Mus musculus: one gene and its partners. The protein of the gene in region 3 purifies or fractionates together with the protein of the main gene of each other region. This does not show direct contact. Links are inferred from orthologs where the notes say so. Each region holds a gene or a part of one and is shown on either strand. Other genes may lie near its edges.

Region 1 (3,500 bases), on a different chromosome or scaffold from region 3:
GGCTGTAAATGAAAGGTGGTGTTAGCCTTTCTCAGATAATTGTAGCTTCATCTTTGGGGAGAAGTCAGGCAGCCAGTAATTCTGTAAGGGGAATTAGGTGTGGGATCTGTAAGGGGATTAGATGTGGGACCTCCTGGCAAGCACTGCATAGTCCCTTACTTTCAGACCCATTGGGCTGTCTTATATTTTCAGAATGGTTTCAGAATACCCGGAAAGTACTGTTTGCTGAAGTTATCTTGTGACTCACACCAAGAAATCACATTTTCGTAATATTATCACCAATCACAAAGGTGGTTGATAGAAATTTTTTTTTCCTCAGAATTGTGATTTTTTTTTTTTGAAAGTCAAATTTTATCTCTGGCAATAAGCACTATCCATTGTGTCCCTTGAAATGACCCTGTGCATCTTCAATAATACATGTGTGGTAGAGTTCAAGAGCCATTCTTTGAAGCTCAAGTAACTCTTTTTAAACACACTGCAATGTCAGCTCACAACCCGAGATGTGCTGGGTGCTGCTAGTGACAGGAAAAGACAGCTCATCCCCATGGTGATGCTCAGAGATGGGAATCAGAGCCAAGGTCGAGCTTCTCCTGTTTTAGGGAGGACGTTCTAAGTGAACACTGGCTTTCCCCGCTGGTGTATGGTAGTGAAGAACTCAGGACACTCCACAGTACCATTTGGTGCCACTGCTCTGCATGTATGACTTTACCTGTCATTGCTTTCCTGTCCCAAGTGCAAATGTCACAGCAAGGAGAACAGGTGCATTTCAGTATGAAAACAATGACTTGATATTTCACAAAATGAGCTGATAGATGTTGTTAGCTTTTACAGTTCAAGTTGGAATCTGAGTTTTCTGCCTCATACTTGAATGAATATTTAAAACCTGGCTCGGTTCGTAAAAGCTCTTGCTGTGTGAGCCTGATAAATTCTCAGAACCCGTGATGGAGGGAAAGACCCAATTCCTGAAAGCTGTCCTTTGACTTCCACACACATAGTGATGATAAAACTGATCATCTTAGCCTTGGCTTGCATAAGTACTACCAAGGAAGCTCTACGGGGACGGGGAAACTGCTTATTCTATATGGAATGTAGTTGAACATTTACATGAGCAAAGGAAAAGGAAACAAGGTCTTCATTTAAAGGAAGGGAAAGACCCCTGCATCCTTTCCCTTATCTTATGCCTGGGTCTCAGGCCACGGTGTTGCAGCTGAGTTGCTAGTCCGTGTTGACATTTCCTCCTTTTACCCTGCCAGATATCGCTGATATTTCTATGAAACAATGTCAACAGCGTTACGAAGACATGAGATGTCGTCGCGATAATGAGCATATTTTTAGTGCAGAATTTATAACTGCTGACTGTTCAAAGGTACAGATTTTTAGTTTTAATTTTTATGTTTATGTTTATGTATATCAGTGTTTGCCTGCATTTGTGTTAGTGTGCACCACATGCATGCCTGGTAGCGATGGAGGCCGGATGAGGGTATCGGAATTGGAACTGGAACTAAGGACAGTTTTAAGCTGCCAAGTGGGTTCTAGGAATCCAACCTGTGTCCTCTACAACGAGCAGCAAGCCATCCCTCCAGCCTCATGCTTTCTTTTTACAGTGCCAGGATCAAGTGCAGGCTCTCACACCTGCTGCAGCTCCCATTTTTAAGACTGATCCATTTGTTAAATTGTGATTTGAAACAAACATTAAAAATCCTAGGGCATGCATTTTCAATTTATTACAAATTCTGTTATAATAAATCCTTGGATACTTTTAGACAAGTTTTACTTTTAATAAATGGGTATCTTGAAGTCTCTTTTGCTTTTTGATTTGGGCAAGATTTGTTTTCATCCTCGTTTTCAAGGCTGCAAGCAATATATGACTAACTAGACAGGTACTATTTAAAGATTCATAAATCCCTTGGTATCCCTAAAGTCCCAGAGTCTACAGAAGTTCAAAGTCCCTTATATAAAATGGCATATATTTGTGGGTAACTATACACATAGTTATATGTACTTTAAAAGCCTGTTTAGATGATTTTAGTATGGTACTGAATATAGTGAAGATGCTGTGTAACTAGTCGTCACACTGTTTAGGAAATAAGTGTCAAAATTGTCTACATATTCATTTAAACAATACATTTTCCTCTTATCTTGAATCCATCATTGGTTGACTTCCCTGTCCCAGAGCCTGAGGATATGAATGGCTGCTTTATTTCACAATAGACCTGGACTTAAATGCATGTTTGTTCACCTTGTAGTTTATAAGGACGGCTTCCTGTCAGATCAGAACCACTGTGTGCTTTTCACCTTCCATTGTTCCTCTGAGATTCTCAACTGCAGTAATCTTCTTTAAGTATTTAAGAGCTTTTAAATAGTACCTGTCTAGTCAGTCATATATTGCTTGCAGCCTTGAAAACGGGGGTGAGAAATGTGTGTGCTGCTTAACAGGTGAAAACTTAAGTACTGGTTCTTTTGGATGCCAAGGGTTGAATGACCCAAGTGACTGTTGAATGTCAGTTTATTTTAGCTCTCAAGACCAACTGAAATGTTAGGCAACATTTTTATTTATTTATTTAACGTGCGTATAGTGTGTTTGGGGGTGGTACATCCGTGACACAGCTTCCATGGCAAGTCAGGGGTCTCCAGCTTCGTTTTCACCTTCCACTTTGTTTGAAGGGAAAACCTTTCTTGTTTGTTCCTGTCCTTTAGACCTCAGGTTTGTGAGTTTTGAGAGGATTCCCCTGTGTCCACCTCGTCTCACCATAAGAATGGTCAGGCTCCTGACACATCCTGCTGTGCCCTGAGTTACATGTCTCCCAAGGCCACAAACTCAGGCTTGCAGGCTTGCAGGACCTAACACTTTACCTACTGAGTCATCTCTCTGGCCTGACATATTTTAGCATGATTTCAGAATTCCCCACTTTTTAAAGGTCACCATGAAAATCAAAATCTTGATTATTTTATGTTTGTGCTGAGTAGATGGGTGGGTATTGGTGAATATTGGGTATTGTTCCTCTTCCCTGGGACAGGGTTTCTTGAGGCTGGCCAGGGAGCTCTGCACACTGCGTCTGCCTCTCACTTTCACTTGCGCTATCTACCCAGACCTGTAGATGTTTAGGTCAGGGTAAGAAAGAATGCTTTTATGAAGTGGTCCTTGCTATAATATATACATGACAAAGAATAAATCAAAGATTGGCGAGAACTATTGATTACCTGTCAGGGAACAGCTACTTTAAGAGCCCTAAATTCTAGTAACTTACTAAAAACTTTTAATCTATGTTGTAATTAGTTTAAAATACTAACCCATTTACATTTGTTACAGGAACTTTTGGTTGAAAAATTCCGTGACCCAGAAATGTACTTTGATGTCTGCAGCTGCCAGTTTGCTTGCCATTACTCCTTTGAGTCCCAGGTGCAGGCGGATACGATGCTTAGAAATGCCTGCGGGAGGCTTAACCCTGGCGGCTATTTTATTGGCACCACTCCCAATAGCTTTGAACTGATGTAAGTAA
Region 2 (2,341 bases), on a different chromosome or scaffold from region 3:
TATCAGATCGTTCAACATTAAATTTTCGTCATTTGCAATTCAAAATAGTTACCTGAAGTTTGCGGTTTTGAGTGTATTTACTTTTATTGTACATTTGTTTTCTAAACTCTTTGGCACAGTTTTCTGGGGGCATTCCGACTGCCACAATACAAGTCAGGAGAGAGCTTGTTTATGATGCCAATTTCAAGCATTTAAATTTTGGTTTGGGTTGTGGCTTTTTCTGTCTTTGAAGTCTGCATTTTCTTTGTAACAACTGTACTTTTATTTTCTATATCCTCTAACTCCAGAGTTCTCCTTTCTCCCCCCTCCCCCCATAGCTACATTCACAGCTGAACCATAGTACAGGAAAGGCGCCTTGATGAAAAGATCAGGACAGGAGCGCTGACCATTCGTCAGTGTTTTCCCTAGAGTAATTAAAATGAAACCAAACCAAACCTAAACAGCGTCTTTCCTCATTTAAAAAAAAAACACGTCTCTTGTGCTGCATCAGTAGCCAGAACTTCAGTTAGTTTATGAAATGCAACATCAAACCCCTTTGTTTTCTGGGAAAAAGAAACTGCAATGACTTGAAGTTGAGAATGTGGGTACCGCCTCACTCACACACACTCATTCTCAGACTGTGAAATCCCCCACGCGCCTTCTCAAGGGCACATAGACAGTACCAAGTGCAACGGTACAGTGAAGGTGGGCTCAAGACCCGGGCTCCATCTTTCTCCTCAGTAGCAGGGGCCAGGCTGCCTTTCACAACACAGCCCCACAGGTGAACCCAGGTCCTCCTCTCCCAAATCAGTCACCCATTCGGCACCGGCCAAGACAGGAAAGCTAGTTCTAGCCTTCCCTGGGAAGAGACAGCTTTTTTGTTTTTAATAAGTAAGTAAATCCATTGTTTCTCTGTTCCAAGATGGCTGATGTTATGTTTTCTACAAACTCAGTGCTTACTTAGCTCATGTCTAACAGCGCTGCTGCTGTTGGCTGTGGCAGGATTTTCAGTGTGGTGTTTTCAAGCCTCACTCACTCATCCTCTCATTCCCAAGCATTCAGCATCCGTGCACACTCCTCACTTCCGGGTTTTTCAAAAGATTGGAGATTTCCAGTGGGGGTCTCAGGTCATCATCCCAGTGGTACCAGATCTAAAAACAAAAGGACGAAGAGGTCAACTCTGAGGTCATATGTATCCCCAACTCCTACAACCAAGTAGCCCAAAGCTAAAAATGGGACCCATCAAGTCTTAAAGATTGATTATTTTTCTTCTCTTCCTTTGTTCTGTATACCTGCTGCCATATATAAGCATATATTGTAGTGCAGTGGTAAATGTGCTTACTTCAATTTGTGATGTCCTGAGTTCAATTTCCAGAAACCAAGCAAATAAATGGTCATGCAAGGCCATACATACACGGAGGTGCACGCCTTTAAACCCAGCACTCAGGAGGGAGAGACAAAGGCAGGTGTCTGACTTTGAGGCCAGTCTAATCTACAAAGCAGTATCTAGGCTAGCAGACTACAAAAAGACCCTCCACTCTGCACAAATAAAAAAGGACATGGAGGAGTAGAAAGAGAACAAATATGGGAACATTTTATTAGGTTCCAAAGTATTTTCAGTGTCTTGGTCAGTGAGTTGTGTTGTCGTTCAACACAAGGACTCAAATATATGGCTTAGAAATATTTGTCTGGCTGTGTCTGGCTGCCTGCTCAAACACAGGTACCAAAAAGTGTGTAGCCAAAATACCAGTAGGCAGCGAATATTAGAAATCCTATAGAACATAAACCCTCCTGAGACCTGAGAGTGCAGACAAGAGCTTACCAAGCCTGGTTCTTCAGTTTCCTCAGTTCCTTGGTTGCCCACGTAGCGAGGGTCTTTGCTTTGTTAGTCTTCGATCTCCGCCCTTCAGTTAATAGTTCATGGATCATTGGCCTAGCTTCTACTAACTTCAGTACATCCTTCCCGAAGGCTGTACACAAGTCCCTGTGCAAAACAAACACCCACGAATGACTGAGTGAGGCAACTCTATGTTTCTTAGCATCCATTCGCTTCTTAAAAATTGTTTGTAAGAGATTTCTGGAATCAATTGGGCAAATCAGTTCAAGATTTGCCCAAGGCTGTAGCTCACTGAGTGTGATGGTACAACCCTGTAATGTCAGAAATCAAGGAAGAAGCTGACAAGGATCATGAATTCAATGTCAACACGGGCCACATAGCAAGACCTTCTCAAAAAAAGGGAAATTGCACTAGGCCTTTGAGCTGTAAAGCTATGTCCCAGTATAGCCTCAGGGTCTCAGAAGAGCTATATGGTAGCCCCGGCTCAGTGGGTAAAGCTGCCTGCTGTTAAATCCCCAGGACCCA
Region 3 (2,644 bases):
TGTCCCACCATCTCCTCCTCCCTCTGAGGAGCCATAGGTCAGTGCTGTTCTCATAGACACCACCTACCTCAAATGTATGCAAGGAGGAACAGGGTAAAATTTGGTTCTACTACCAGGAGCTAGAAGCTGCATTCCAACAGTCTCTCCTGGAAAACCCTGATTGCCTTAACCAACCCATCTCAGATGATTAGCTCAGATGTTAATTAGATGTTAACTAGCTCACCATGATTAGCTCAGAGTTAGCTTGCAACAGAATTTGGTCTCAACCCTCTAGTCAATCACATTGTATATGTGTGTGCAGACCAGAGGTCAGTCTGAGCTATCACTCCTCAGAGTAATCTAGGTTAACAAGCCAACCAGAAAACAAACCCCAGCTGGTTTGTCCCGACTGTATCCTCTTCCCACAACCCCTGCTAGGGTTACAGGCCCCGGCCACCATTCCTGGCCTTGCATCCTGGGGAGTGAACTCAGGTTTTCAGGGCAAGCACTTTACACAAGCCAGGGGTGGATATGTTCCCACTGCTTTTGGTTGGGAACTTGTACTTCAGGAAAGGAGAGGTACAGACCTGTTTTCTTCTTACACCGTAGGCTTGGATAAAATTGAGTTTCTCCAGAGCCACGAGAACCAGGAAATCTACCAGAAGGCCTTTGACCTCATTGAGCACTACTTTGGTGTAGAGGATGACGACAGCAGCCTGGCTCCTCAGGTGGATGAGACGCAACAGCAGTTCATCTTCCAGCAGCCTGAGGCCCCCATGGAGGGCTTCCAGCTATAATGTCTGCCTCCGGGGAGGGGAGGGCACGGGAAGCACCAGCAGCCAGCAGAGAGAGGAGCAGCCTTCTGGTGGGCAGGAGAGCAGCCACCCCACCAGCAGCCCCGCACACCTGCTGCCCCGAGACTGTGCTCTCGACCTGTTCATCCCCTTCCCTGGAGGGAGCAAGCGCCCTCTGGACAGACAGAACCATCTGAGGCTCACATTGGGTTTTGAGACAAGAAGGGGACGTGTGGGTTTCTCTTCCTTACACTATTTTGGCTGCACATGTCTTTAACCCAGGAGCCCAGGGGTAGACAAAGGAGGACTGAGGTAATCAATTTGCACCTTTAAAATTTTTTTCTTTTATTTTCTTTAGTGGTGACTTCCTTCCCAATTATCTTTCTTCATCCATCCCAGTCCTCTGCCCTGACGTGTGTAACTCTTGGGTACTTGAGCAGATGGAATATTCCAGAGGTGGGAGGTGGGAGGGGAGGGGAGAAGTCCCAAACAAAGTGTTCTTGCTCTGACCCATATTAATCTTGTATGCTTGGATTATTTAATTTTTTCTTTTGCACATTTTTCTTGTATTAAGGTTGTTCTTCCCAAAAAGCTGGATTTAGTAACCCAGCCACCAGCATCGTCTGGAAATAGAGGCTAATGGGGAGGCCCCCATGAGACAAAGATCCCTCCCTCCCTCTAACCCTATGCCTAAGACCTCTTTAGTTTGGGAGGATCCCCCTCACTCTCCTGGAGCAAGTATACCAGTGGAGTGGAAGGGAGGGGCACAGGCCTTTAGACAGGGCTTCTCCTGTGTAGCTACTGACCCTGTTTCCTACCCACCTCCTAAATGGTGCGACCCAACTTCATTTGTTTACTTGAAAATTCACCTCAGAGTTGAATGAACCTCTGAGGTGGCTGTGTTTTCTCCTGAGCTTGAGATGGGGGGCTGTGGTCCTTCCTTCTCCTGAGGAGAAAGTCCTTGCTCTGATGACCCCTAAGTTGCAGAGGAGGTTGGAGTTAGTGTCGTGTATCGGGATAGTCATGAATCCCTGCCTTTGGCCTTTCTTCTTCCTTCTGCCATAGCTGGATCATGTATATTTCACTTCCAAAGGAGAGAATGGCAAAAAGTTCTGTTGTTTTTTTAATAGTCTGTATTTTAAGTAGGTCAGTCTTAATTGGTTTTAGGAGGACAAACTGGATGTGAGTGGGATACTGTGAGGAAGACCAGAAAGACGAACAAGTTTCTGCTCACAGGGCTGAACTCAGTCCTTATTTTCTCTGCTTGTATTCTGGGCCACCACTTGGGACCAACTCTCACTTCTGGAACCTTTATGAAGTAAATCAGCTGGGTCTGATTGTTCCCAGCCTGAAGGGAGCAAGGCCTGATGGAGTCTGCTGCTCTCTCTGTTCCTTGCTCCCAAGCAAAAAGCATCCTGCCTTCTCTAACTCACTGTTACCCACAATGAACCCTGTTGGCATCTCCCTTCTAAAGATCCTTGTACCTAGCTTGCATTTCCCTTTCTCCCTCTTTCCCCCTCCCACCTCTCTCCCCCCTCCTCCTCTCTTCCCTCCCTCTCTCTCCCCCTCCCTCTCTCCCTCCCTCCTTCTTGAATAAAGACAGTTCAGTACCTCAGAGGCTGACCTGTTTTCAGGGGTTACACAGTACACTAAAACCAAGCTCTGGGAGCTGGGTACAGTGTCAGCTGGGCAGACCACCTGTGGAGGTGGCAGCACAGTGCCCTGCTGTGGTGATCCCCCACACCCTTAGCCGCTCTCTAGAACAGCACTGTTCCTCCTGTTCCAGCAGATCTCTCTGTGCCCCACATTTGCAGATCTGAAGTTGAGGTTCTTGCTGCTGGCCTCTGCCTTTCCGTCTGCCGTCTCTCCTT

The links. Proteins that work in one complex are often made in the same cells at the same time.
Region 1: the proteins of Kpna6 (region 3) and Rnmt purify together in Homo sapiens (co-immunoprecipitation; 3 studies listed by BioGRID and IntAct, counting the BioPlex papers as one, with this or other methods). This does not show direct contact. The link is inferred for Mus musculus from reciprocal best matches to the Homo sapiens genes KPNA6 and RNMT.
Region 2: the proteins of Kpna6 (region 3) and Kpnb1 purify together in Homo sapiens (affinity purification with mass spectrometry; 4 studies listed by BioGRID and IntAct, with this or other methods). This does not show direct contact. The link is inferred for Mus musculus from reciprocal best matches to the Homo sapiens genes KPNA6 and KPNB1.

Annotation. Positions count from the first base shown.
Region 1 is NC_000084.6:68,310,355-68,313,854, forward strand, and holds part of Rnmt (mRNA cap guanine-N7 methyltransferase), read left to right. Parts: intron 1-1,253; coding exon 1,254-1,366; intron 1,367-3,310; coding exon 3,311-3,492; intron 3,493-3,500. UniProt on the Homo sapiens protein: Catalytic subunit of the mRNA-capping methyltransferase RNMT:RAMAC complex that methylates the N7 position of the added guanosine to the 5'-cap structure of mRNAs. Binds RNA containing 5'-terminal GpppC.
Region 2 is NC_000077.6:97,161,552-97,163,892, forward strand, and holds part of Kpnb1 (importin subunit beta-1), read right to left. Parts: intron 1,964-2,341; coding exon 1,802-1,963; intron 1,131-1,801; coding exon 1,130-1,130; 3' UTR 1-1,129.
Region 3 is NC_000070.6:129,646,124-129,648,767, reverse strand, and holds part of Kpna6 (importin subunit alpha-7), read left to right. Parts: intron 1-588; coding exon 589-776; 3' UTR 777-2,644. UniProt on the Homo sapiens protein: Functions in nuclear protein import as an adapter protein for nuclear receptor KPNB1. Binds specifically and directly to substrates containing either a simple or bipartite NLS motif.